Oreochromis niloticus: one gene and its partners. The main gene of each other region encodes a partner of the protein of the gene in region 2 in a complex. Links are inferred from orthologs where the notes say so. Each region holds a gene or a part of one and is shown on either strand. Other genes may lie near its edges.

Region 1 (7,790 bases), on a different chromosome or scaffold from region 2:
GCATAACGAGTGTGCAATGGGTAGACTGTAAATTGTAGTTTTTTGTTTTGTTCTTTGAACGTGTACATTTCAAAAGTTGGCTTCTTCTCCCACTTCTTTTTTTCTGTCACAATCAATTCATTTTCTCACCTTCCAACCTACTAACAGGGAGAAACAACATAACTTCAGCCAGATTTTTATTTTCTAGGGAAAATGCTTCCTACTGCAAACAGCATTGGGATAGCTTTTTGTTTTGCTTTTGGAGGTCAACTGCTGGTTTGAACAACAGTTTTCAGTCAAGAGATGTGCATCTGGAGTGCTCTATTTTTCCCCTATCCCAAAGCTCTGCACGGCTTGGGCCTCCCTGTGCTTGCATGACATGGAAGTATATTTTTTGTTGTGCATGTAGATCAATTTTTTGAAATAATCCTCTTGTTTACACATGGATGGTGATGTTAATATATTTAAGAATTTAATGGTATACAATATGGATGTTGCCAAACTTTGGTAAATGTACACATATTATGAGAGGTAATCCAACTGAACTGAACTACATGTAACTTTTTGTATTTTACCCGGGTCAGCGAGATGCTTCGATTCCAGTAAAAGTTGCATATCTGATCCTGTCTCAAACTGCCACACACTGTACTCAGCTTAAAGGGGAAAATTTGATGTTTTTTTTTTTTTTTTTTTCCTTTTGTATATAAGTATTTGTTAAATGCAGTTCTGGCTCTCTGTTCTCTGTATAGTTCAGACCGCGCTTTAGTTTGTAAGTGCTACTTTTCTCTGAGGGACTTGGGTTCTTTTTAGTTTGTGTGGGGATATGAGAAGATTTAAGTTTGAGAACTTTTTTTTTTTTCCTTTTTCTGCATGCTGCATCTTATGCTGTGGGACTGTTGGAAACTTGATACTGTATGAAAAATAAAATTTAAATAAACTTTGAAATGTTGAAAGTATTCTATTTGACTGTCCTTTTTTTTTAAAATTTTAAACCTGACCAAGATGTGACTGACTAGACTTGTATCTTCATTCACCAGGAAAGAAGAGTACACACATGCTTCGTTTAGTTTTTTTTAAACACATTTGCACAAACACATACTTTCAGATTCTCTTAATGCACGTATCATAATTTTATTAATCATATTTGATACCAGCTGATCCAGAAACCATGAGATCATTACAGAAGAACCCAAGGTATCAGTCCAAAGGGCAGTGACGGTCTCAACTCAACACAGATCCCACATAGGAATTCCACCAGCCAATAGGGGAAGATAAATACATATGGTAACCAATCATGGTTCAGGTTTAGAATCTCTCTGCAGTCCTGCTAGCCACCACTCTGATGTTGCCATAGACCTTTGAAGGTGGACTTCCTGTAGGGGCAAAAGGGATTTAAAGGTCACTTCTCAGCATTAATGTGTAAACAAAGAGTTCAATTCCAAATATGGTTAGTGCTAGATTCGATGGATTTGCTGTCAGGTGACTGATGCTCTCAACACTGGAAAAGGCTGCACAGCAGTTAAATAGGTCAGTTCTGGACTTGGCTAAACTGTTTGTTCAATGTTTTAGGGTTGTTTTCTTTAAGCTGACTGTCAGCTTATAAAAAAAAAAAGTAAGAAATTAGATTTTTGCACTCCTTACGGAAAACAGTGTTACAACAGGTCTTTTTAAACATTCCATGGTTTCATCCCAATGCTTGATTGCCGAGCCTCTTTTGATTTAGGCACTTTTACTGCTGCATTTAAATATATATCAGATCAAAACTGAAATCTATAAAATAAGAATTCACAGGGGAGTCTTATAATCTAAATTTCAATGTTTAAATGAGTACCTCAAAGTGAATAAATATCACCATTAGTACTTGTACTTCTCAGGGAGTAACGGTATTTGAGACAGACTGTCCACCCAGCTCATCCAATAAAGCACCACCTCAATAGCATCAACCACATGATATACTGTGCTATAAAAACAATGCTCGTCTTACCTAAGATTAAGTTGCATATCGCTGTCCGGGCCATCTTGATATTCTGGAAAGATCCTAATACGTGAACTTTTCTGTAGACAGACAAAGCAGAGTGTTAGCCGTTTCAGTGAAAAATGAATAACAGGCACATAACTAGAAAACATACTGCAGGTATGGATGTATGCAAAAGGTTGTGTATATTGTCTTTAGAGTACCCACACAAACTTCTGCGTGAGAGGGTAAAATATAATTTGTGTGAGGAAAAACTGTTAGTAAGTAATATATTATGATAGTATGTTTATGCACTTATTGACAAAACAAATCGGGCCAGTTTATTTTATTTTTTTAAGTTTAATTACAAAGAAGTAAAGCTCTTCTTTACAGAGTTTCTTTGCAAGATCTGTATTGGAGTTCAATATTTATCATGACTAAAACAATGCAAGAGAAAAAAAACCAATCAAAATGTTTGATTAATGCTGCAGTGAAACTGTGTCAACTTCAAAAAGGTGGTTAAGGAAAATTAATAAGGGATTAATAAGCAAATGATGTGGAAAAATAATTAGTAATTTTACTGTAACATGTCAAAATACTGGATTTACTCACGTGTCTGCAAGCACAATGCGAGTCTTTGTGACGTTTTCAATGGTGAATTTGGTTTTTCCTCCCTTCCCTGCTATTCTTCCAATAGCTCTGGATAAGTGGTCTCCCTTCAGAGGTTTCACTGCCAAAACATGGGAGAACAATTAAATGGATCTCGAGAGGTTGAACATTGTATTCTTCACGCAGCAGGGAAAGAGAACTGGTAAGAAATTATGACGACTCTAACAGCAGCCACAAGTGCTACGGAGGTGGAAACTCACCGTCTGTGACATCAAAGCTTTCAAGGAAGAGCTCATCTAATCTAATGAGAGCCAGAGCATCCTGAGGGGAGAGAGTGTGAATGTTACATCACGAGTGACAATCCAGCAAGGCTCAAAATTAACAATCAAATACTGTCACAGCTTCTAAAGATAATTTACACATTTAGACAAAGCAAAAACAACTACAAGTCACTTTATGGAGGCTACTGACAGGGAGGAAACTTTTATTGTATTAATAGTAGATTATATAACAACACTGAGCTGAAGTAAGTGTCAGTCAAGTGTCTCTAATACTGTCCCAAAACTTGACTTTTGGCTTGACAAATACACATTCAGTACAAAAGCAGTCAGGCAGAATTAAAACATGCAGAAAACTCATGTACTTACTTCAACCTGAAATCCGAGAACAAACGCTTTAACAAAATCAGCCGCTCTTTGGAGTGAGGTGATGTCCTGTGTTTCTTTACATGTCTGAAAGAAAGAAGGCATATTAGTTATATCAGAGATGAAATACTGTATATAAGCATTGTAATAAATAGGCTCAGTCAACTCACCAGAGTCTACATGAAATGGGAGAAACCTACCTTGATTTCAACATTCCTTGTTTTGAGGTTGAATCTAACTTGAAGTTGTAGGTTCTCTACAATGGGAGTGAAAATCTTCAGCCAGTTATCTTTCAGCGGTGTGTATCTGTGAGCTGGAACTGGGATTTTGCGCATCTCATCTGATCCCTTAGAAAACAAACAAACAAATACACAGAACATTTCTGATCATACGGTGTAATGTTAGCAAAACTATTCTATGACATTTGGTTAGGATTTATCAGAAAACATCTTTGCTTTGTAACCCGAAGTCAAAGCAATGCTGTAACGAATGTAACATGTTTACAATTGTTTAATGTGGTGATTCTTTTTTTCCGCTTAACTGTCTGATCTTTAAATCATCAGGAAACAGTGAAAAAAATTGTCATCATAACAGAAACCACTAATCCACAACAGAAGGAGAAAGAGAGATTGCTGAGTACATATAAACAGCAACCCCGGGTTTCTATTGTGCCTGACGGTGCATTTAATTACTGAAACATTCATATGCACTCTTAATTTCAAAGTTTCTAATTAATCCTCGGAGTACTGGACTGATATTAACCACGAGTCATTTATGCGTTTTGTTTTCCTAACTGTATTTTTACTTTAGTAGCCAGTGCTTTAAACAGTCAGAGTACTGTGTAGTGAAATCATAAGTATTATAATAATAGTCACGACCTACACACAGTATTTGTTGTGTATTTGAATATTCTACTTGGGCAACCACACTACCACAACAGCAGCTTTATTTAATGTATTCACATGACTACACCGCGCGTGCGCATAATAGTTAATGGTTCGGTCGGGGAAGCTACTTTGTAAACATTACAAATAACATTAAATGTACACTTATTGGTATTTATTTGACAAAACCGAGAGAATACACAGAGTCTATATATACTCATGGTGTAGTTACCCGTAATTTGTCTCCTGAAATGGGCGGAAACTGCGGTCGTTTGCTTGCCACGGGCTCCTCTGTGTCCATGCTCGCTCCATCTTGTTCACGTTTTCGCTTCTGAGACTTTTTCGACTTAACCTTTGTGAAAGAATCGGCGTCATCTTTGCTCTCCTGGGGTGCTACAGCGTCCGGGACTGGGTTTTTGTCGTTGTCCATCTCGAAAAATGTTTTTAAAATCAGACTTTGAGTAGAAACCTAAGCAGACTGTGAACGGAGACGCGTGAGCATGTCCTCGTGGGACGAAAAGGACCCAAACAGCCACATCAACGACGCCTGTAGATTGGGAGGTAACAAAATTATATTATTATAACTATCTAGGATGTCTCTAGTTGTCTTTAGAATTGAATGCAGGCTGTTTATATATTTTTTCATATAATTTTTGTACCAAAATACATAAATATTTTATTGAAAGATACACATTTTGTCAGGCATCTGTTAAGGCAGCCGCTTGCTCAGCTGTACCTAGTTTGTTTTGGGAGAGAGCGACAGTTGTCTACTTTTTCACGCCGATACCAGTGTTTCTCAGAAAAATGTCATCGCCGCTGTCGAAGCCTCAGATTATTACGCATATTCAGAAGAGTTTGAACTATACGGTTTTTGACAGTAAATGGATTCCCTGCAGCGCGAAGTTTGTCTGTCTGGGAAACTTTCCTAGTGGAACCGGAGTGATTCAAATATATGAAGTTCACCAAGGCGAGGCTCAGCTCATAAAGGAGGTACATTAACGTTCTACTCTTGTGGGCCGTTGTTCCTTTCTTTTCTCTCAGAGATTTCATACAAACGGCGTACAGAGCTAGCTAGCCCGTCGAAGATTTCTAGAAAAGTCTGGCAAGGATGTTTCCATGACAACAATTTGAAGGCAGCCAGTGCCCGTTCAATATTGTTCTACTGTAGATTATCCTAGGGTTGGCATACTTTATCCAGATTATACTTAAAAAGCAAATACTACAGCATCACTTGCAACGAGTAAAATATTGCTATGCTGCCACCAATGTATCGTACTACAAACAAAACTTACTGTTGTAGTTTTGCACCATGGCATGTGTGCCAGGCATCAAGATACAGATAAAGGAGAGCAAACGTAACAAAACGTGCATAAACATGATTCTTTTATACTTATCTTGCCTGTTTGTTTCAAATGTAGGTAGGTCATTTTGCTGCTAAAGCTTGAACCAAGAGTGCCTGCATGAGACGGTGCTGTGAAAAAGTATTTGCCCTCTTCCCAATTTCTTATGTTCTTGCATATTCGTCACGCATGTTTCAAATGATCAAGCAAATGTTAGTGTAAGACAAGAACGTCTTAGTTAAGGTCAGTGTTCATGATTCAATGATAAGAAAGAGAATCGGTAAAAATGGCATCTATGGGAGAGTTCCGTAGTGAAAACCAAAATGAACACAAAGGGCCATCTCACATTAGGTAAAAAACAAAAACAACAAATTGATGTTCCCCATTATTCTGTGAACTGACAAAGCGAAGTTGAACTTTCTGGGAGGTTTGAATCATGTTACATCTGGCGTAATACTAACACACCATTTCATAAGAGAACATCATACCAAACAATCAAACATGGTGGTGTGATGGTCTGAGGCTGTTTTGCTGCTTTTGGCCTGGACGACTTGAATTAAAAGATTCAACCAGAAAATCCTAAAGGAGAATGCCTGACTGTCAGTTTATGCCCTGAAGCTCAAGCTCACTTGGATCATGAAAATACATTTTCACTGCACTCCTTCCACATTGCTTTTCCATTATATGTTGAATTGTCCCATTCACGAAACTAAACAAACTCTTACCTCTGATATGTTTCAGGTAGAGAAACCTAAAGCTATAAAGTGTGGAACATTTGGGGCCACGTCTCTTCAGCAAAGACACATAGCAACGGGGGATTTTGATGGAAATCTCAATATATGGTATTGTATACACCAATTATCAGTGTTGTGCCTGTAATAAGAAGAATCAAACTGGGAAAGCAAGGCTTAAATTCTATTTTTAACCAAAAAACATTTCTTATGTTTACTGTAGATCTTATATTCAACGCTGGTTCAGTCCCAAAGACAGTTATAATTCGAATGGAATTAAAAAAAATGTAAAGGAAATGATATTTTAAAAATACGTTACGTCGACATTAGACTTATTCAGTACTGATGTCCTGTGGTTCACAGGAATCTAGAGACCCCGGATGTGCCCGTATATGCTGTAAAGGCCCACAAAGAGATAGTGAATAGTATTGATGGTGTTGGTGGTCTGGGGATTGGTGATGGTGCGCCTGAGATCGTCACCGGAAGCAGAGATGGTAAGAGCATTTAAAAAAACAAACAAAAAAAAACTAGATTGTAATTACTTTTCAGTGCAATGATAGTGGGAAAGTAAAGTACATGAAAATAAGACTAGATCCTACATGATTGTCTTTTAATAGGTACAGTAAAAGTGTGGGATCCGAGACAGAAGGATTCCCCTGTAGCCAACATGGAGCCAATGGAAGGAGAAACCAAGAGGGACTGCTGGACTGTTGCTTTTGGTTTGTAAAATATTCTTCAGAAACTAAGTTGATAGTGCTGGTGCTTCACCTACTTCCATGGTGTGCAGAAAAGAACATGAAGTCTGAAGAGGTTTAGGCTCCTGCAATAGTTGTGGTAGTATAAAGGACACTGTTACAGCTTGTGGCCCTTAACAGGGTCCTCACAGAACATTATTTTCTTAAGGGCTGAAGTACCAACATCCACAAGTAAAGTTTAAAAACATGGTCTCCACATTATCTGTATCCACAGGGACAGGAATGTAATGCATTTGTTTGATAGTGATAAGAACTAATACAGTCATGGGTTATATTAATACTAAGAAGCAGTAAAAAGATACTTATCATATATTCTATTGTGTGCAATTTCAGGGATTTCTTTATACCTAGTAAAGGGGATTATTTCTCTGAATTTCAAACAGCAGAACACAGCCCAAATGCTAGCTAGTCCCTTGGTCAAAGGTACAATGTAAGCAGAGAACATTCAAACTCCAGAGAGAAGCACCCTGTTCTGGGTCAGGCAAAGGACACTCTTGCTGTGAAGCAACAATGCTAACCTATCAGCCACCATAAATAAAGCTGCTGTAATGCACTGCATATAACTGATAAGACATGACAAACAAGGCACGGTGGTTAGCACTGTTGCCGCACAGCAAGAAGGTCCTGAGTTCAATTCCACCATCAGGCCGGGGTCTTTCTGTGTGGAGTTTGCATGTTCTCCCCGTGTTTGCGTGGGTTCCCTCCGGGTACTCTGGCTTCCTCCCACTGTCCAAAGACATGCAGCTTGTGGGGATAGGTTAATTGAATAATCCAAATTGCCACTAGGTGTGAATGTGTGAGTGTGAATGGTTGTTTGTCCCTGTATGTTGGCCCTGCGACAGACTGGCGACCTGTCCAGGGTGTACCCCGCCTCTCGCCCTATGACAGCTGGGA
Region 2 (7,516 bases):
TCAAATAATCGAGATCTCAATTTCAGTGAAAATAATCGTGATTATCATTTTTGCCATAATCGAGCAGCCCTAGTATCAATAATAACAAAACAGGGATTTATCTCACGTCAGGTCCGTGAATGCTAATAGGAGCATGAGGTAGATATTTATCACACTCTGCACGCCCATATAGTCTTTAAAAGCCCTAGTTAGTGGAAATGAAATCACCTGTGTGAGTCTGTCGAGACTTACAGGACAATGTTTACACATCTGTTATAAAGAAAATGTTTTATCACCCTTTTACTGATAAGTACTCTCTTTCATTTTACACATAATGCAAAATAAATGTAATAACACAAAACCTACATGCACTTTTCTTATTTTAATCAATAATACTTAAAACACTGATGCTAACACCCCCTGCTTAGAATCAATGGAAATGCATTTACCGTAGCAAATCTACCCTGTAGTGAAGCCCCTACACAGTCATGGTCCACTCACACAGGTGTTTTTATCTGTCTCTTAAGAGCTCTACTATCTCTTAATGTCTCTCTGTGCATACACCACATGTCAATTCCCTTAAATGCGTCAATACTTTTAGCATCTTTTTTTTGTTAGCAGCTCTGCTAATCTATGTCTGCTTACAATGCCTGTAGTATAACAAGGCACAAAAACAGACTACTGCCACTGAAACAAAGTAGTAACTTCCTCAAATACGACAAATGGCAGTGTGAAATATACTATATACACTTAAATATTGGGTCACACCTTTAAATCTTTGAATTCAAGTACTTAAAATCCATCACCTAAACATCCATTTACAAACATTTGTGAAAGAACGGGTCTTTCCAAAGACTTCACTGAATTCAAGCGTGGTACTGTCATTAAATTTATTTCCTACTAGATAGAGTAAAAGTATTTCGGGAACCATTCAGGAAGTGGCAGACTATGTAAAGTTTCAGAGTGAGGTCACTGAGTAATGAAGCGCATAGTAGACAAAAGTCGTCATCACTCTGCCGACTCAGCAGCTACAGACCTCCTCTGGCATTAAGATCAGCACAAAAGCTGTGCGTTCGGAGCTTCATGGCACAGGTTTCTATGGCTGAGCAGCTCCCGTAGGTGTAATGTGTAAGTGGCCCAGTATTTTTGTCCATATACGGCATCTCTGCATGTTTCCCTTTTGTAAACTACTTGCACGTGCACATTTAATAAAATAAGCCAGTTTTCTTTTAATCAGCTGTGCTGTTGCAACACAATTTGTGCTAAACAAATACATCTAAATTTGTTGATTTCACATCAGAGTGAAGTCTGTCCTTGAAGACCCACAGGTCATAGCAAGCAAGGACTGACGAGTATCAAGTAAGAGAAATGAGATGGACCCACCCTCCCTGACATGTTACTTCTCTGATAATACTTTGTTCTATTTATTAACCAAATTCTGTTAAGGTGCTTCCATGTCACTAACCTGCTGTTTTGCATCACAGGCACTGTTTATTGTTAAATACTCCAGGGTTGTTGACAACACTAACAGTAACACCTACAATAAAAAGTCAAAAATCTGTGCTGTGAAATGGGGCCTGCTGGAACCTGAGCAAAGGTCAAACACTTCATTAGGAAATAAAAGAATATCACCGTGTGGGTGTGCACAAACTTGATAAGCAACTGATGTTTTCTGTCAATTTAGAACATATTTATGACCCTAAAGGAATCAAATTTTGGTTATAACAGCGTGTTTGTGCAAAATAGGGCAAAAAAATGGGGATGTCTAAACCTGATATAGTAAACTTCCAAACTACACTGAAGGAATATTAGAACATGAAGAACCTACACAGTGTACTCAGTTAATGCAAGCATATTTTAAAAACAACCAACTTTGTGCTCAAGTTCATTGGTGCTTTCATGCTTACCAGTGTTGAATCCGACTTTCACAGTCTTTCACCACCTGTTTCAGGACAAATAATTTTAGTAAGAATCAAGCTGATAAATCTACGCAACTTACACAGTCTTCAGGTGGAAAATCTAAACATTTAAAGCATCTGTGATAAAACATTCATTTCACCGAGGCTTTTACTTTACCCCGGCTGCAGACACAACTGCCCAGAGGCACGAATTTATATGTAATAATAGTTTGAAAGTCATCACACACAGGGAAGTAGGTCAGCAACTCCGAGGAAGTAGGACGAGACAAACACGGCTGTCAAAAAATTAATACATTTAAAAATGAAGCAAAAAAACTGAAATAAAAACACAGTGTTTTTGTGTCTAGGTGAAATTTACTTCCCAAAGTAAAGAAGCAAACAGCACTGGTATGAAATTCTTTTTTTTTTAATGCCAAGAAACGAACCTAGCTGAGCACGCCCTCCTACAACATTTAAACTTGAACATGTGAGTGTCTGCAGGAGGAGGAAGCTTCTCGAAAACTGAAAGTCAAAACAACAAACACTCTTCGTGTAACCTGTGAAACAATAATGGCACAAATGTCTATATCTGCTGTAAAAGGTACTTCAGCAAGTCCCAGCAAGTGGTTCCAAGACCTTTCCCGGTGCACCATGTGGCCAGTGGCAGACGGTGGCTTGGCTAACGTTGCATACTAGCCAGCAAAACGTTTCGCGACAACTGGTGATATTACCTTTTCGTGCTCCTCTCGGAGCCTGATAACTCCGCCGAGGTGTTCTACATCCACTTGACCCTTTTCAGCCATTGTCAACCCACTTGCACAAAAGAAATTTCTGGTGTTTCGTGACCCCAAAACAAAGCTCAAGGGCTGTTGTGAGTCCTAAAGAAGTGTTTATGAATGCAGCAGCAGCTATTCCTGAGACCCGTTCTGCTCGTATTCATCAATGGGGCAGTGATAGTTATCCACACTTTCGGAAGTGATATCATCTCACACTCTCATTTCAGAATTTCTGCATGATTTCCAAAAATATCCACAGTCTGAATATCCGAAGATTAGCCAATACTCCTTGTCACTCTCGCTGCGCCATGCACCTCCGTCCAACTCCAAGAACTCAACCGTTATTCCAGGGTGGTATCCGGTCTGAACTTTCAAAATAAAAAACTTCGGTTGTATACTTGGTTTAGCATTAACAACAACAACAACAAATACAAAACGTAAAATTAAAGAAAAACAAACTAAAACAATTATACTTTTGGTGGACAGAAGTGAATAGGAATAAATCTGGTAAAATTACAGTCACAACAAAGTGCACACCTTGTTGTGGCTTCTTTCTACTCTCAAGCCCATCCTCCCAGTTTCACATCAGCAGGTTTTTCGTAAGGCTAAAAAATCAGTCAGTGTTGGATTCACACAAGAAGTAATTCAGCTTGCGTATGGAAGGTTAAGGTGTGGAGGTCGACTGGGCCACTGCAACACCTTGAGTTCGACAGACTTAATAATTGCAAGGCGCACACATCCTGTGACTACAAATGATTACATTTAAAAAGTGTGTACTTTATTTTTACCATGACTCCACGAGTACTTCAAAAGTTTTAGCTTTTAATGCATCTCTTTCCTTTCACATTTAATGCTTTTATTATCAATCTCAAACATTACATTTTCCGTTTTGGTTTCAAATGAAGCGAGCTTGATGCAGTTCTTCCTCCCAGTGTACTCTGGGTAAATATGAACGTCTGCACAGATGTAAACAATCTAAAGCGAGGTAATGTTGTTCCACCTGCATATAAAAACAAAGTGACAAGCACATCAGATTTGCACATTCAGGCACTATTTAACTAGCAGCAGGTGCAAACCTCCCCATGTTCACATTCCCGATGCTGCACGAAAATTTACAGATATTATTTAAACACACATCACATAAAACCCTATAAAAGTATCAGAAGTAACGAGTGAATCAAACACGGCAGTTGAGTGAGTTTGGTTTAATATGATAACAACAATATAATTTATCCCCAAGCTCCCAATCTTCCTGTGTGGCAGGCATTAAATAGTCTGTTTTTGTTGCTTTTAATTGCTGTTGGAAATATGAGAAACACCAGTTATAAACAAGGTGTACACAAGGGACAAAAAAAGAATGGCTAATAATTCAGAGTTTACCCTTTAAAGCACAGTGAACACAGATTATTTGGCCTGAAAATCAAAGACTATTTTCAACTGTCCAATGATATTTTAACGTATTTAAGTTAAGAATACGTTATAATGGCTTGATGCCATATATGCTATATTTATAAACTCACACGCTGTTAAAATGTACAATTTGTAAGAAAAATATAACAATACTAATTTAGGCTAGTCTAAAAATATTATACATTGCTGAAACTTGTATTGGAATTTAGGCTGAACACTCTATTTTAATTCAACTGAATGTGGTTTACACGTTTGTAGTTTTTGGACTTGAATGCAACTTCCTAGCCATTCCCATCAGGCATTGCGACAAGAGTCATACAGCAAGCTTCATATATCATGAGGTGCATGCGGAGCCTGGCCGAGCTGAACAAATAATGAGAATGACATAGTAAAACCAGGACCAGTAAATGTCGATAAGGATTTGAATAGACAGCAAGGTATGTTCCAAGCGGTTACTGTGGATGGTGAAGCAGCTATGGCTTTAATTTGAATTGACAGAGTTTTGTAGAAATGACAGAGCTGCGCAGTCTGTTATGAAGCTTTTGATTGCTTGATCGCCTTAACAATACGAAAGCATGCGGGAAGAATATTCATAATGTTAATTGTTTGTTTTTTTCAAAAACTGTTTTTAGTAAAGGTCGCCAAATTCAGCATCAGTTGAAGTGAGATAAGGGCTCACGGTGATTAAATTGCGGCTGTATGGATAGATAATACTATCAGTTTAACTTGCATTAAGCCAGAAGTGTCATAACACAAGAACACTCACCAAAATGTATTAATTATCAACAGCCCAAACCGTCCGTTTGAGTTGTTAATGACTTTATTATTCCTAAACTTCAATGTGTAATTATGGTTTATTTAACCATTTATTGTGACGAGAGTCTCTGGTGTCATGGTTGAATTTAACTGTAATTAAAAACACTCTGCATATAATTATAAAAATCAGTGCGTACAACAGCTGACAGTAAACATAGTTTTGATTTTAGTAGAAGTGTCAAATTCTTATTAACAGAGAAATAAAAATGATGCGTTCACGAGTCAATCCGAGGGCGCATGCTCGGTAAAAGTATGACCGTTTACGTCAGCATACCTGGAGTGTACATAAAGGCAAAGCATTTTAAAAACAAAGACCTTTGTAACCTAGCTTTTCGAGATACCGGTCATTGATTTTTTTTAACCTATTTATATCACTTCTACTCATTGTCTCATATTTACCTTTAACTTTGTTCTGTTTTATTTTTAAGCTTAATGTTATTTTTTCATTGAGAACTGATTTAATTACGTCTGAAGTTTCTTATTTTAGCTATTTAAAATGTTAAATGTTTTATTGTTAAAGTTTACCAAGTAATGTGTGGAATTTAAGATGAGTTAAGCTGTGTTGGTATTTTGTTCATTTATTTAATTTTGAATTTACTTTTCAATTATAACCTGCTGAAATGTTGGCAATGTTGCTGCTGTACTCAATCTTGTGAAACTGAAAGTATTTAATAAATTATGAGGGAACACTTCTAAATAAAAACACAATTTCAAATCCTTTCAACTTTTATGGGCCTGTGTTGCTGAAATGTTGAATAAAATTGTCTAAATTGTGCAATTGTTTTATGAATCGCAAATCTAATCCACAGTATGTCTCCACGAATGGATGATGTTATGAAGCTGTGTTGTGAGTTGTCCGCCAATCAGCAAGTTAAGACCACAGTAAAAGGTTCTGGGAAAGGAGCAGCAGCAGCTGGGGCGCTGGCCTTTGCTGGAGGATTGGTTGGGGGTCCTCTCGGCATAGCTGTAGGTGAGTGGAACAATGCAACAGTTCCTCTATCTTTAGGAACCATTTCTAATCATATAGATTCATCATAAATGCTGATGTATTGGAATTAAGCTGTTTATTTTGGAGTGATCAGCATTATTGCTTTATCTCAAAAGTTTGAAATTTTGATCTTCTGTAGGAGGGGCTGCTGGAGGCCTTCTGGGCTGCTGGCTGACCAGTGGTCAATTCAAACCACTTCCACAGATCATAATGGAGCTCAGCCCTCAGGAAAAGCAGAAGCTTTATGATGATCTCATGGAAATCCTGGGAGACATTCAGTGGACTGATTTGGCTCAGCTGATTGCTCTAGTCATGGGCAACGCAACTCTGAAGCAGCAGCTTACGGCTGCTCTTCTTGGATACATCACCAAGGAGCTCCAGGCAGAGGTGCACTATGTTGATTAGTCGCTTTCAATATTGTGACACAGAAGCCTGATTGCAGAGGAGGATGTTCTCTGATGAGTGTGAACTGCTTTTTGACACTTAAAAGATTCTTAATTAAATTCTGTATGATATAAATGTTAAATATGTCGATGAAAACACCTGTATGGCTGGGTAATTTATTTTGATAAGTGCAATTATTACTTATTTATTGTATCATTTATTCTGTCTTTAACTGCACCGATCATCAAGTCTGGCTTTAAGTCATAGTGAATTTTGGGTTTCATGGAGTTGTGCATTTACTCTGTTTTTGTCCAGTCTACCATCTTATTTACATAAGAAGGATTGTGAACTGACTAAGCCAAAATTCTTCTGTGTAATATAAAGATTTGATATAATTACATCAATTACCAGCCTTTTTACATTTTAGCAGATTTGCCAGCAACTGTATACAGCGTATTGTACACTTTGAATAAAAAATAAAACCAGTGTGGACTTGGCATTTGGCATAGCAGTCTTCATTCCTTGGCATCGAATCCATCTGGGCATTAACATTGTAGCTCTGTCTTTTATTAAACTTAGTACTAACACACTTAAGCTAGCATGCTGGGGTTGGCATAGGATTCTAGTAATCTGAAGGTCTGTGATTTTATCCTAGCTCTTCCAGTCTGTATGTTGAAGGGTCTTTGGGCAAGATACTGAACCCTAAGCTGCTCTTAGTGCATCCATGAGCATTTGTGTGAGTGTGGTGTGTGCGTGCTTATTATTCACATGAAAGTGCCCGAAGGCATAAGACACATAGACTATAGAATGTGTGAATAAGTGCATATAGCATGTGGAGTAATGGTTCAAGTGTTCAAAAAGACATCCATTTAACTTCCATTTTATTGTGATTCTGCTCTATTGTATAGACATATACCTTCTCCATTAACCTTTTATCAGCCTGAATGAAGAATAGCCTTTAAGAAAGTGCCTCCAGACATCGTTAATAAGAGAGTTGGCTGTCAGATAATTAAATGTATGTACAGGTTAAAATTCACACTGGTGTATCAAGTTATTTTTTAAGCATATGTATTTTTAAATATAGTGTTATACACCTGTTGTGGGTGTTTTGGTTCTGTATTTTACATGGTTTCATTCCTGCTTTAGTCATTTCTGATAAAAACTTAATTCTGGTCTATTTGTCTTTGCTTTTCTACTGTTGTGTCATTGGCCCAATAATAAAGTGGTGAAAAATGGTTTGTGTAAGTAGATTAAGTTCTTTATAA
Region 3 (6,036 bases), on a different chromosome or scaffold from region 2:
TGCCGCCTTGAGGTTAACCCTGAACACACCAGCTACCGGGACTTCCTGCCACACGCACTGTTTGGGACCAGAAGTGTGAGCAGCCACAGAAGTTAGAGTCAGTTCACCGGCCTCTGCGTCAAATGTCCATAATAAGCTCCGCCTACCAAAGAAATCTCGGCCAAACCACAGGTAGTCTCCTGCCTTCTGGTAGTAAACAAACCCCCAAGGTCCACGAATAGCAGACAGGACAGCGAGAATCTCTGAAGGGGCATTGCAGGATGATAGCCGCTGAGCTACAACCGCGGTGTCGTTCTCCTCTGGCGTCACCGGCAGGCCACTGAAAATCTCTCCATTCCACAGCAGGATGTTTCCAGCGTTGTCTTGAAGCGGCTGAGCAGTGAGAAGACCTCTCATGTGAAGAACGTGAGCAGAGAATAAACAGCGATAGCTGAGATCTGAGTCTGTGATGGTGAGGTCCCGGCTCGAATTGGGCCCTCTCCTTTTTAAATGTTCATAAACTCTTTGGTTCCACTGAGAGTGAGCGGACGCCAGACTCAGCGCACAGAAGATCCCACACATCGCGGCGTTGCTGTGGCCTCAGATATCCTGAAGTTCCTTTTTCATATAATCGAGCTCCTCTGCAAACAGAACAATGCACTAGTTACATAAGCCATAAGAGCCTTCACTACAGTCCTATTATAGCATAAAACACGCTGCTGAGTGTTTAATTTTTTTTTTTTTAAAAACGGGGACCCCGTTCCCAACTTCACTGGCATCAAATTCAAAATGAGTAAATACAGGAAAAGCCGGCAAAGACAGAACAGAAAAACAGCCGGGCACTGACACAACCAAGAGTAACAAGACTTTCCAACATTTCCAGTGTTTGTTTTTACCTCACTGCAAATATTTCTCAAACCTACGTCTGAATAAAGTCCTTTATTGAGCAGTTTCTGATGCATAAACCTAAAATAAACAATGCGGCTCAGAAACACCCCCACAGTGATGCCGGTGACTTTTCAATCTTTAGCTTGTCTTGATAACGACGCCTGAAGTTTGATCGACATATTCTTGAAAATCTAATGGAGTTTTGATCAGAACAACTCTGGACTGGACGAGATGTTCTGGGCATGTCCTTATAAGAGGAAGCCCTGGGATAGATACAGGACAAACTGGAGAGATCACATCTCTCAGCTGGCCTGGAAACACCTTGGTCTTCTTCCAAATTAGCAAGTGGAGGTCTTTAGGGAAGGGAGGTCTGGCCTTCTCTGCTTAGATTACTGCCCCCAGTCTCCCACTATCCTGGATAGCAGCAGAAAACGATTGGATGGATGGATGGATGGATGTTAAAAAATAAACAAAGCGGGATAAATCTGTTTTTTGCATCTTAATCTGGAATCTACCCTGTTTGTCACATGATGTATCACATTTTTCAGAAAAAAAACTCTCAGTTAAAAAATTTTTTTAGAATTTTTGTTCATCTTTACTTCCAACACGGAAGTTTTCACCTCTCAACCAGAGACACTTCTCTCATCTTACTTTTGCAGGAAGTGAGTGTCTGACTTCTGTCTCCTACGAAGAAGATGTTACTGTTCCTCTGCTGGATGTAGACTTTCTGAGGGGGGAAACAATCTGCATTAACCCACATTTACACTCTCAAAACACATGACTGCACCAGCCTGACAACATAGGGATGTGATTTGCGTGTTTCCCATCATAACTGCACAGATAATGATGTGATCTAATAAATTTTGAGACTTTTCCACTTCCTCCACTCACCCTGTTTTTCTTCAGATTGCAGAGCTCGTCCACAAGCACCTTCTGCTCTTTAATCTGTAAATTGGCAACACGGAAAGTTTCACCGATAAAAACTACACTATCTGAATCTGTTAAGACACATAAAGCTAACAGAAGCGGCAGAATAATTATACATAACGAAAATAACCAAAAACCTATGTATTTGGGAGACATCCTGTGGTCTGTTACAGCCACATTAGCCATATTAGCATGTTTGGGCTAACGCTACCTTCTTGTTCAGCTCTTCTTTTACTGCGGCCTGTCCTTCAAACTGCTCGTCACTGCTGCAGCCTTTTGAAGACATGATAGTGCGAAGAAACGTAGGAAAAACTGTCCAGAGATTTTACTAATAAAATCGAACCCGGTTCAGAGTAAACTCATGTGTCTAACCAGAAGGAAGCTTTTCCGGGTGCTGAAGGTTTACACAGTTTGAACTCTACTGCCTCCTGCTGGTGGGCGGTAATACAGCCATTCAACTGTATCATTCATCTGTATCAAAAAATACAGATATTAATTTGTACATGGTCTATTTTTTTTTTAACTTTTTCTTTTCTTTTTTTTTTTTTACCAGAGCAAACCAGTTAAATATGATATGATTCCTTCTTTTATTTATTTATGTTTTTTATATGTTTCTTCATGCCATGTTTGCCATCCCACAATGCACTTGGATGCACCATATACATCAATGGGTCACCACAAGCTTCCAAGACTTTCTTCAACCACCAAAGGTAGTCAGCCTGAAACTCCTGGCATTTATTTGGGGACTTAACGTGAAGCATTATCCAATTAACATTATTTTAATGTGCACCAAGACCAGTCAGAGTTTCAAAATAAGCCAAAGTCCTTTTATTCACTTAAACATGGCTGTCTATCGATGTTCATTTCATTAGACTTTTATCAAAGTCAGCCTTATTTGGAGCCTACTGAGGTGGTTCAGGTGATGTATGTCCAGGATGCCTCCTGGATTCCTCCCAGGTGAGGTGTTTTAGGCATTTTTTTTACTGGTAGGAAACCCTTCAATAGGTCATGAAGGAGCGATGATGTCTCTCAGCAGGCTTAGACCCCCCTAAAAAAGCTGGAGAATGTGCCCGGGGAAAGTGAGGTCTAGGTATGACTGTCACTTTTCTCTCAATTAGAACCACAGATGTCAACCTGCCCCACACAGCAGACACACTTGGGTCTAATCTGGACATCTTCAGTTACCAAATATGCAGATCACACATCACAAGCTCTGGGTTACTGCAGATGTCGGGTGGGCTCGATGCCACAGCACACCTGACATTCGGTCTATAAAGGTGAACCTGTGGCTCTGCTGGGGTAGCTAGACTCATCCTAATGACATTTGGGCCAAATATTTATTACTGTCGTTATGGACCATCAAAGCCATTAGGAGTCTCCAGTGCAATCTGAAATCAAACCAAAGCAGTGGGCCGATCTTCCTTAGAGCAGTGAAAAGCTGCTGTAACAGTCTGAGCTCATGCATAACTCCACTGCTGATAAAAACGAAACCCCCTCAGTGACACCAGTGCTGATTTCTTGCTCCTGCAGCTGGTCAAGCACCTTTTAAACTTGACAAACACACCTGCCTGAAGCCTCACGTTGGTTCACTGCCCACTCAGCTGCAATGCCTTATTGATCGGAAACAGCTGTCAGATGTTTGCAGTCTCATTCCCTGAAAGCGAGGGCTGTCATTTTAGGAACGGCGGCCGCAGGCTGTCACAGCCGGCCAGACTGTGACCTTTGATGTTTATTGTTCTGTGGTGGAGTTGTCAGGCACATATAAAACTCTTTGGCCTTATATCCACAAAAACTAAACTGACCACAGCCCTGTTGTGCTCCCAAAACGGTGATTACGACCATTGTTTCTTTGGTCACTCAGATGGTTGGTCATCTTTCTGTATCAGGTGTTGTGACCTTGAGACCTCAAGAGCCAGGCCTCGGGTATTCGGATTTTATCAGACTTTATTGAAATATGACTGAGCTGTTCTTTAATACCTTCATTGCAACAGAGCACAAAAAAGAGGAGAAGCATAAAGAATAGATGAATAAGAGATTTCCCATCTTGCACCTGGATCCCTTCTTTAGCTGCGGCTGGTAAATGTGAGACAACTTTGGGCCACAAGAGGCAGGTCATCCTCATATTTTTATCCAGGGAGTACAAATTTAGCCGATGTAAACAGAGCTTGTTGTTGCACATCCCGGAATCCCTTCAGGAACAGACGTACCTGCAGGTCACATGGCCACAAAATGACAGAGCAGCCGCCTGACCGCTGATGACAGCTACCTGACACAGCGGCCCACTAATAGTGGAGCTGGTAATCTGTTTGTAGCGGCTCAGTGTGTGCAGGCTTTGAGACGGTTGAGCGCTCTGAAAAAGATCACAAAGGAACTGAAGCGCCTATTGTCATCACCTGGCTCAAAATACGTGCTTATGTTACCTGTCGCTGTCAGTTTTGCTCCCTCATGCAATGAGACAGCACAGAGTGCATATGCACTGCATTTGTTTTCATGTGCATTCACAGAGCTTCGTCCTAAAATAACCCAACCTCCAACCTGCTTGGATCACACATTAAGAGTTAAATTTAGGGCTGGATTATTCCACTGGAAGGAACCTGGGCTAAAAGAAGCTGCACTGATTCTCTTTGTGTCTGTAAATTAGTGGATTTGTTAGTAATTACCAGTTATCATGGTAAAACTCAACATTAAAACCACCAAAGTATTCTTAAACACAGGACCTCCCGGGGGGTGGCATCTTCAGGGGGATCCCCTTTGGGTCTTCTGGAATGCTGGGTGGTGCTCTGGGGCCAAAAACTGTAGTTCCTCTAGTGGCCACTTGAGACTTCCTCAACAAATTAGTCAAGTCGCATAGACTCCCAACTCTACAGCAGAAATAAACAAGTTTACAACCTGCTACAAAAAACAGTTTTGGTCTATCTCAGGGGTCTGCAACCTTTAACACCCAAAGAGCCATTTGGACCCGGTTTCCACGCAAAAGAAAACACTGGGAGCCGCAAATACGTTTTGACATCTAAAATGAAGATAACACTGTATATATTGTTTTTTTTACCTTTATGCTTTGTGTGAACAGCTTAAGTGTGTTCCTTATGAAATCCATGAAGTGCTACAGAGAAAATTACATTTTATTTATGTAATTAACACATTTTGAACTCTTAAAGAAATTTAACAAAAGGAAGGACACCCAGCTGAACTAAAATGATCCATGTAGCAAACAAAAACTGTTGTGAGCCGCCTCCCTTATACCACCTTTGGGCTTTTGGAGCCTTGACCTGACTTTTAAAAAATAATTGGAAAAAAAGCACTATGCTGCTAAAAAATGAAAAATAGATATTTGCAAAATTCTGCCTAAATATGCATTTTATCTGGTTAATGTGTGTGGCGGGGCGTGGTCTGCAGTGCCGCTGCATGGGAGTCGGACGCACCTGAGCTGCACCCGCAATCACGCCTCGCAGCCTTAAAGTCTGTGCTCTCTGCTCTTGTGTTGTCGGGCTGTGAGCTGAAAAGCTGCAGCCGGCTGTATGCGTACAGCAACCGTGTGTGAAAAGTGGTCAATAAAGAGATGCTGAAAAGCAGCGGGTTTGCCGTAGTATGTTTACAATGGAACTTCTGCTCCTGAACCTCTGCGCACAGCGTCTGCAAATCGGGGCTGTACGAAGTCACTTTCATCTTTAAGCAGAACTAAGCTGTCGTCTGTGAGGTGTGAGCGGTGTTTGTTTTTAACATAGTTCACGGTGGAGAATAGCTGCTGACATAATGTGGATCCGAAGATCCATAATTGGCCTACCTGGGGTTGAAAGTCTCGATAAATGCACGGCGTTTCGGCGGGTATACCGGCTTCCGCGAGTGTGACGCTTATTTTGAGCGATGAAAAATAATAAAATATAATTTTATTTTTATATTTCAATATCACAATAATCTTCCAATTTAGACCTTTATTTAAACACAAATAAAATACACTTCAGCTAAAAACTTCTAATTTATTTTCCCAAACCACCCGGAGCCGCAGTATAAGGACAAAAGAGCCACATGTAGGTACGACATCTTTGTTATGTTCCTCGAGTTGTTTTAAGGTGCAGGAGTACACATTGTCCTGTGGGAGGAGACCACAGACTCGCAGCGGGTACTATTTCCATACAAGTGCAGAGTTAGTCTGCAACACATTTTAGGTGGACAGTGCTTGTCTAAGTAATATCTAAATGAAAGCCGGGAGTCAGGTGTCCCAGCAGAACATTGGATCATAAC
Region 4 (7,713 bases), on a different chromosome or scaffold from region 2:
TTCAGATAACTATTTAATAAAAGCTAAATATTTTATATGAGAGTAAGAAAGAAAAGTATATCTTTGTGTCCACCTTTCTCTGTTAATGCCCTACCTGGCCCCCTGGCAAAAGCTTTGCTAGATCCGCCCCTGCACAGTTACCAGCTGTCAGCTACACAAAAAAAGGAGCTTGGTGTATATTTGTCTGTCAGAAACAGTTCATAACTTCCCTTCAACTCATTCATGTCACCTAAGGGTAAACCTGTTTCTCCATCACCAGTTCAGCTCTGATGATTCAGTAAGGACATCTCCTGATTTCATCTTCATGCTCCAGCAAACATCAGCTGATACTAGAAATTAAAATCAAAAGAATTCTAACAACAGCTGATCAAGCTTAAACGTGCTGCTGTTGTTTAGCGCGATAAACAAACAAGAGAGAAAAGCCGATCATTGATCAGTTTCATGACTGAAGTTTCAACAGGCGAGAGAATGACAGGGGAGGCTGTCATAAAGTTCAACATCGGTAACATCGGTAACTTAGCCCGCACACAGCTGTATACAAACTCCGTAGTGCTAGCTAGCACGCAGTACGAGTTATTGTAAGTGATTGAAAAAGTCAGCACAACGAAAATAAACTACACCTAAACTCGGTTTATATCTGACCCAAATAGAGTGCAGGTCATAACTTCTTACCTGAAATTCAGTTCACCTCACGCTCCTGCCTTCGCTTTCCCTCATCCACGATTGACCTCCGCGTTAGCAAACACCGGTCGATCGGCGGTAGCCTCACCGCCTTGTATGTCTCGTTCGCGGCATGTCTTTTCTGTCACACACCGGTGGATAGCTGCCCTCTGTTGTAGCTCCACCACCAAACAACTCAGTTATTTTTTCCACATCGACCAGCATCATCGGCCCATATAAACGAAAATAAGTCCAGCTAAGACACAGACCCTTGCCGAGCGATCGGGCGATTAAACAAATTTTAGCCACCTCACTATCAGCCAAGCCTGGGTGGTTTTTCACGAAGGGTCGCTAGCCGCGCTAAGCTAGCGGCGCTAGCTAGCTAGCCAGCCAGCTATCAGCAACACGTAAGAGAACTGTTGCTAAATAAACTACACCTAAACTCGGTTTATATCTGACCCAAATAGAGTGCAGGTCATAACTTCTTACCTGAAATTCAGTTCACCTCACGCTCCTGCCTTCGCTTTTCCTCATCCACGATTGACCTCCGCGTTAGCAAACAGCGGTCGATCCGCGGTAGCCTCACCGCCTTGTATGTCTCGTTCGCGGCATGTCCTTTCTGTCACACACCGGTGGATAGCTGCCCTCTGTTGTAGCTCCACCACCAAACAACTCAGTTATTTTTTCCACATCGACCAGCATCATCGGCCCATATAAACGAAAAATAAGTCCAGCTAAGACACAGACCCTTGCCGAGCGATCGGGCGATTAAACAAATTTTAGCCACCTCACTATCACCCAAGCCTGGGTGGTTTTTCACGAAGGGGCGCTAGCTAGCTAAGCTAGCGGCGCTAGCTAGCTAGCCGGCTATCAGCAACACTTAAGGGAATTGTCGCTAATATGGGATGTCTTGATAAAACGAGCAGATATTTGAAGTTTACACACCTACATTCTCGCCTGAAAATATCTTAAAAGTGTATTTTGTGACCTAGAAACACGAATAAAAGACATATAAAACGAAGTGGTGTCCGCCATTGTTTGACTCGGTAGAGGCATGCTATGAATTGTGGGATATGTAGTTTTCACCAAGCATGGCACCCTTTAGGCCGTACTACTCCCGGTATACCACTAGAGAGAGCCAACACACCACAAATGAAGTCTGTTTCTATGGTGCCAAAAGCAGAATCTTTCTCAGGAGCCTAGAAATTGGCCTAAATTTGCACTAAAATCTAAATATTTCAAAAACTATAAAAGTTATAAAGACCAAAAGTCACACCATACTAGCCCAGCTCCAGCCGCACAAAATGATGTAACATATGTACCCCTATTGTCAAAACTGTTTGGCAGAGGAGCGCGGGAAAATTTTCACTAAAATATTAATATTTAAAAAACTATAATATTCATAAACACCAAAAGTCATAGCACACCATTCCAGATCCAGCCGCACAAAATGAGGTAACATATATGAAGCTTGTCTGAAAACTGCGGGTCGAGATACACTGCAAAATTTCAGGCGGAAAAAGGAAAATAATAATAATAATAATAATAAGAATAATAAATCCGAGGAATAGTAATATGTGTGCCTCTTGGCATAGGCACACATAATAAAGAATAAAGAGAAACAGGAACACTATAGTGTGGATGCCTTAAAGCATCCACACAATAATATTGTCCCGTCTCCCTCCTCTGGTCTCTGAGGCCACCGCCCTCCGCTGTTTCACAACACGCTGCAGGGCGGAGTCTGCAGCTGAGGTTCACGGTGGTAAATTTGACCTCATTTTAAAACAAAATGAGGCCATTTTATGTTATTTTGGCAACTGGGGCTGTAGCGAGCTCTGTGGCAGTACTGGCGATGGTGTTGTACTTTATACTAACCACAACGGTAACGTAAACTCAACCATTTAATCTGCATGCGTTTTAGTGACGTCTGTGATTTGTACTGCGTGTAACACAATTTCATCTAACATGGTTTTTTTTTTTTTTTTTTTTTTACTGCTGTAATAATATCGTTAATCCATTTTTCACGTAAACAACGATGGCTGTTACCTAAGATGCTCTGCGTGTTTGTGGTGGGCTTTGATTAACACACGTGACACGGACGGACGCCCACAAAGTTCGCAAATCCTTCCCTCCCTCTGCTTTTTCCCCACACAGTTAGACACATACCTTTTTACTGAATTTGGAGGGTGGAAAAACAAAAAGAAAAAAATACATTACATATAAGTGCTGTTTGTGACACCGGATGTTTGTGCTCCCCTTCTGGCTGCTGGTGTCAGCTGATAGGCTTATCATCAGGGACAGACAGAGAGGCACGTCTGGATGGACACAACACCCGGCCATGTTTTTTATTGTAACTGATGTTTTATGATTAAAGAATAAAAGTTTGCTTTCAGCATCAGTTTATATTAGTGGTGGATAAAAAGTGGAGAAAGAACAGAGTTCATTTTCTTATTATTATTATTATTACATTTTATTTGTCTGTTGTTATTTTCTGTTTTCAGTGTAATTATGAGTTAGCTTCCACATTGGATTTGGCGTTTTACTCTTTATCAGGGCAAGATTTAGAAAAGTTAAAAGAGGAATTACAATTACAGATCATGTAGACCTCCTGAGTTGTAATAAAGAAATGCACCCAAGCCTCAACAGTCCAAACTGACAAAAAGTAAAACTTTATGACTACACACTATTTCTTAAATGAAACACTGTAGTTTAAATTTGATCAAGATCTGGATTTCCTGCACACTTGCCTGGACAAAATAATCTTTACTACTGAAAATCAGAGCAAAATGTTGCCTCATCTCTTATTTTGTGGCGCAATGTTCTGCTTAGCTCTTCTACTCCAGCTCACAAAACATAATCACCAGTTTTGTAACAATTCTGCTCTTGTTGTCTGAGATTATGATTATTTGGTAGAATGATTTTTTTTCCCTGCATAAAGTTTCAAGTTCGCTTATAAACTTTGTGGTGGGAAAAAGTAGGCTCTCATGTAATGACATGGTTAGCATTGTTGAATGGGTGCATTTAAACCATAATCTTGTGTAAGCCTAAAGCAAATGTGAAAATATCAGAACAAAGAAAAGAAGGTTGTCTGCCAAACTCATTTCTTTGGAATATTTTTGTCAAAGGTCTGTACGCTTAGCTCGCATAGCCGTTTTGTAATGGCTCATGGACCATTGGACCCTTACAAAACAGGCAAGATAACGGTTTTCAACCCTTTTATTTCAAAATAGCCACATTAGTTGTTTAATTGCTTTGGATTAACAGTACTGGCAGTTATATTATATTACAAAATATTGAGAGATTATTGATGCACAAAATAATTCTCCATAAAACTTGGTTTCTAATTTCACACTAGAATATAAAGAGATTGTGTAACATCTGCACAGTGACTCAAAGCAACCTGTGCTACACACGTAAACAGGTAAAACTCAGCAACTGTTATTCAATAGGTTTTACTAAACAAATCACTGTTACTGTTATTTATTTTGTAAAATGTATATTTTTGATACTCTTTGCGTACTGAGATAAAAAGCAGGTGTGATTGAAGCTTCTGGCTCTGATTCGTCCTCACATCTTCCATTCAAAATGTGAAAAAATGTAATAATCTTAAAGCTGATTGATGTAAATTTAAAATTTTAAAATGTGTTTTTTCTCATTACAATAGAACGAGAGAAATGCAGTCTTGTTAGGGTAATGTAGAAGTTTATATCTGCTGCAAATCACCAGTTTTTCACTCAGATACTAAACACAATGCATAATGAGCTTTGGTTTTTCTTCCGACCGTTGCTCTTTGCTCTACACGGACTAAGTTGTGAACTGTGGACTGCAGCACATGTGCTTTTCTGATCTGGCTTTACTGAATCAGCAGCACAGAGGGAGGTACTGGACAATCACAGCCTATCAGTTTAGTTAATGATCACCTGGTTTCCCTTTACAAAAGCACTGTAGAACATGAGTACTCTCAGTACAGGGACAGAAGTTCAGCGGTGATACTTTTAGAGACAGAGGAGGTAACTAGGGCAGCCATGCGCCTGATAGGGTGCACAGTGCTCCTCTCTGTCCTGCTGCCGGCCATGGTAAGAAACAACGGGATTAGGACTGAAACATTACTTTTGCCTTTGAGGGCTAACCTTTGCTTTTGCTTTTGCTCTCCATAGATTTATGTTTATTTTCATGTTGTATTGCTTTTTTTTGTATTTTCATTACATTTTCTTTTTAAAATGAATTCTTCACATCTGATAGGCTGTTGAGTTTTGGAAATAACACGGTGTTCTAACTACTTATTGTTTTGTTTTTATTCCTTCTAAAACAGTCTACCCCATTAGAGGAATGGCAGAGGGCAACATCCATTTATAACTTTTCAGCAACGGATATCGATGGCAACGTGGTTTCCCTTGAAAAATACAGGTAAATTTCTCTGTCATTTTGTTAAAACCTCCTATTACAATTATAAACCTCTTATCACTAATAAAATGTGTGTGCATGTGTGTGTGTGTATTTAGGGGGAATGTTGTCATCATCACCAATGTTGCCTCTAAATGAGGTAAAACCCCAGTAAACTACTCTCAGTTTACTCAGTTGCACGCCAAGTACGCTGAGAGAGGTTTAAGCATCCTTGCCTTCCCTTCCAACCAGTTTGGGAACCAGGTATGTAAAACATAAGTTGTTTTTTTTATTGCAACATTTACTGAGATTTGTTTGTGTAAGTTATCAGTTATCCAGGTCATGGATAACTGGAGATCTGTAAAGACGTTTCACCTCTCACCCAAGAGGTTTCTTCAGGTCTAAAAACAAATGGTGGAAAGTCCCAGATATTTACCCCTCATGGGGTTTCACCCTTAACCCCCAGTGATGGTAATGGCCTGCACCTTTATTTACACCGTGGCTCATGTAACGACTAACATGATCAATAGGGGGTCAAAACCCTCAGAACCATCTCCAATAATGACAGCCCCCATTAGGGGACTCCAGGTCTTGTTTTTAGACCTGAAGAAGCCTCTTGGATGAGAGGGGAACCGTCCTCACAAACTTAAAGAAGTTCAGTTGTCTTGTTTTTTCAAGCTCTCAAGATGGAGAAGATAGTGTTTTTATAAACACTAAAACCAAATATAAATGGAAAAACGAATTATAATAATGAGAGGCACTGCAAGTGAATGGGTAATTTAAAAAAAATGTCCCCAGATGACTGATTAAAGTTAGTTTTTATATTGCTGTGCTTTTTACAACAGATGGAAATTAGCCCTTGGCTATAATCTGGCATGTCTACATTCATGTAATTTTTTTTTTTTTACATTTATGTTCATTAACATGCACTGTCCTAAATAAATAAATAAAATTAAATAAAATTAAATTATGTTTTATGCAAATTAGGTGTTATCTCTTTAAATATGGAGACTTTATGGACTTGTACTTCTCCAGAACACAAATGTGATACATGTTAAGGTTTTTACAGATGCTTTTACTGTTTATTGTGCCATAAATCAATACATTTTTAACAGATGGACAATAACTTTTTAAAAGTTTTACAGAAAAAAAACATTTTTTTTAAATTACCCCTCTGAAAAATCTTTAGAGTATAAATAGGAACATGACTGGAAGGCTTGATGGATGTCGGTGAGAATAGATTTGTACACAGTTTTGAAAAAATTTAGAGAAAATAAAATATGAAAACTGTGTAAGTGAAATGTTAGGCAGTGTGAAACCTTTATAGTTTTTTGTATAAGGTCTTCTGAAATGTTTTTTTTAAATATCTAAAGCATTCATAATTTCATTAAGAGTTTAATCATAGGCATAAATTGTAGTTGCATTAACATTGAAATGGATAATTTGGCAATCTTCTCACTACTAGTCTGAATGATGGCTTGTTTTGAAAGAAACTAGGCATGACATTTGGTGCCCAGTATATTTAATTTGTCATATGCAGGTCACTGAGAGCAGTTAGAGACTTCAATACTTTTAATACTATTTACTTTTAGGAGCCGGGCAATGAAACTCAAATCAAGCAGTTTGCAGACACGTTCAGCGCTCGGTTTGATATGTTCAGCAAGATCGAGGTGAATGGCCAAAACGCTCATCCTCTGTGGAAGTGGCTGAAGGAACAGCCTAACGGAAAGGGCTTGTTTGGGAAGTAAGTTGTGAATGAATGAATCTGGGTCACAGTCATATGGTCACAAAGTATCTTAAAAGCTTGTTTGGATCAGACGTAATGCATACAGTTATCTGTTTAAAACGTGTACAACTGAATTTGAACAAGAATCGGTCATATCATTTAAATCAGTTATTGATTAACAGCATTTTTATTCCAATGCTGACTGAATGAGAGCGATTATTAGTTTTCTAACACATTTTTTGTGTTTATTTCTGTAGTAGCATCAAGTGGAATTTCACTAAGGTACGTTTTTATTACGGTTTATTTTTAAAACATTTTTATGTCAACAGGGCTAAAATATTATAAAATATAAAACTCTGATTATTTGAAAAACAGTATGAAGAATAAAGGATAATGATGGAGAGTATGCAACAATTAATGGAACAAGCTTTTATATGCAAAAATATGTTATAATTATTCATTTATATTTTTTTTGTGTTTAGTTTTTGATCAATAGAGAGGGTCAGGTGGTGAAGAGATATGGACCCTTGGATGATCCAAGTGTACGTACAAAACCTGGTTGTTCTGTCAGATGTTCATTGCTCATGTGTCTGTGTGATTACTGCTCACCCCGTGATGAGCTCTGCTGTGCTTTCAGAAACAACAAGAGATGTTTATAGTACGTGTAATTTTATCACCCCTGTGTATAGACATGCAACTGAAGTCCATGCAACTCTCGCTTTCTTTCCAGGTGGTGGAGAAGGATCTTCCCAAATACCTTTAAACCTCTAAGAGATGCCTGAAACCGTGCTTACTTGCATCCACTTGATTTTGCGTTTCCAATACTCTTTTTTCCCACATTTCTCTGCCTCTCCAAGCACCGGTGGATATAGTTTGGGTCTATCCCAGACCAGTGACGGTCTGTTCATCAACCTGCATCGCAGGCAGGGCAGACCTGATGTAAA

What was found.
Region 1: uri1 (region 2) and dnaaf10 share a complex: the UniProt entries of both Homo sapiens proteins name them as parts of the PAQosome complex. The link is inferred for Oreochromis niloticus from reciprocal best matches to the Homo sapiens genes URI1 and DNAAF10.
Region 3: uri1 (region 2) and asdurf share a complex: the UniProt entries of both Homo sapiens proteins name them as parts of the PAQosome complex. The link is inferred for Oreochromis niloticus from reciprocal best matches to the Homo sapiens genes URI1 and ASDURF.
Region 4: uri1 (region 2) and polr2eb share a complex: the UniProt entries of both Homo sapiens proteins name them as parts of the PAQosome complex. The link is inferred for Oreochromis niloticus from reciprocal best matches to the Homo sapiens genes URI1 and POLR2E.

What each region holds. Positions count from the first base shown.
Region 1 is NC_031978.2:9,086,803-9,094,592, reverse strand, and holds the start of dnaaf10 (dynein axonemal assembly factor 10), read left to right. Parts: upstream 1-4,787; 5' UTR 4,788-4,874; coding exon 4,875-5,060; intron 5,061-6,151; coding exon 6,152-6,252; intron 6,253-6,504; coding exon 6,505-6,635; intron 6,636-6,758; coding exon 6,759-6,860; intron 6,861-7,790. Other genes in the region: RNA-binding protein PNO1, read right to left, coding at 1,285-1,352, 1,964-2,034, 2,546-2,663, 2,803-2,863, 3,190-3,273, 3,387-3,533, 4,303-4,500. UniProt on the Homo sapiens protein: Key assembly factor specifically required for the stability of axonemal dynein heavy chains in cytoplasm.
Region 2 is NC_031972.2:60,922,628-60,930,143, forward strand, and holds the start of uri1 (unconventional prefoldin RPB5 interactor 1), read right to left. Parts: upstream 3,009-7,516; 5' UTR 2,681-3,008; coding exon 2,609-2,680; intron 2,561-2,608; exon of another isoform or gene 2,531-2,560; coding exon of another isoform or gene 2,483-2,530; intron 2,287-2,482; exon of another isoform or gene 2,119-2,286; coding exon of another isoform or gene 2,056-2,118; intron 1,922-2,055; coding exon 1,887-1,921; intron 1-1,886. Other genes in the region: zgc:112052 (protein C19orf12 homolog), read left to right, coding at 5,690-5,849, 6,007-6,272. UniProt on the Homo sapiens protein: Involved in gene transcription regulation. Acts as a transcriptional repressor in concert with the corepressor UXT to regulate androgen receptor (AR) transcription.
Region 3 is NC_031987.2:6,963,838-6,969,873, forward strand, and holds asdurf (ASDURF protein), read right to left. Parts: upstream 2,213-6,036; 5' UTR 2,081-2,212; coding exon 2,006-2,080; intron 1,813-2,005; coding exon 1,759-1,812; intron 1,595-1,758; coding exon 1,519-1,594; intron 621-1,518; coding exon 580-620; 3' UTR 562-579; downstream 1-561. Other genes in the region: asnsd1 (asparagine synthetase domain-containing protein 1), read right to left, coding at 1-561.
Region 4 is NC_031986.2:39,882,809-39,890,521, reverse strand, and holds the start of polr2eb (DNA-directed RNA polymerases I, II, and III subunit RPABC1), read right to left. Parts: upstream 3,001-7,713; coding exon 2,827-3,000; intron 2,543-2,826; coding exon of another isoform or gene 2,450-2,542; exon of another isoform or gene 2,390-2,449; intron 1-2,389. UniProt on the Homo sapiens protein: DNA-dependent RNA polymerase catalyzes the transcription of DNA into RNA using the four ribonucleoside triphosphates as substrates.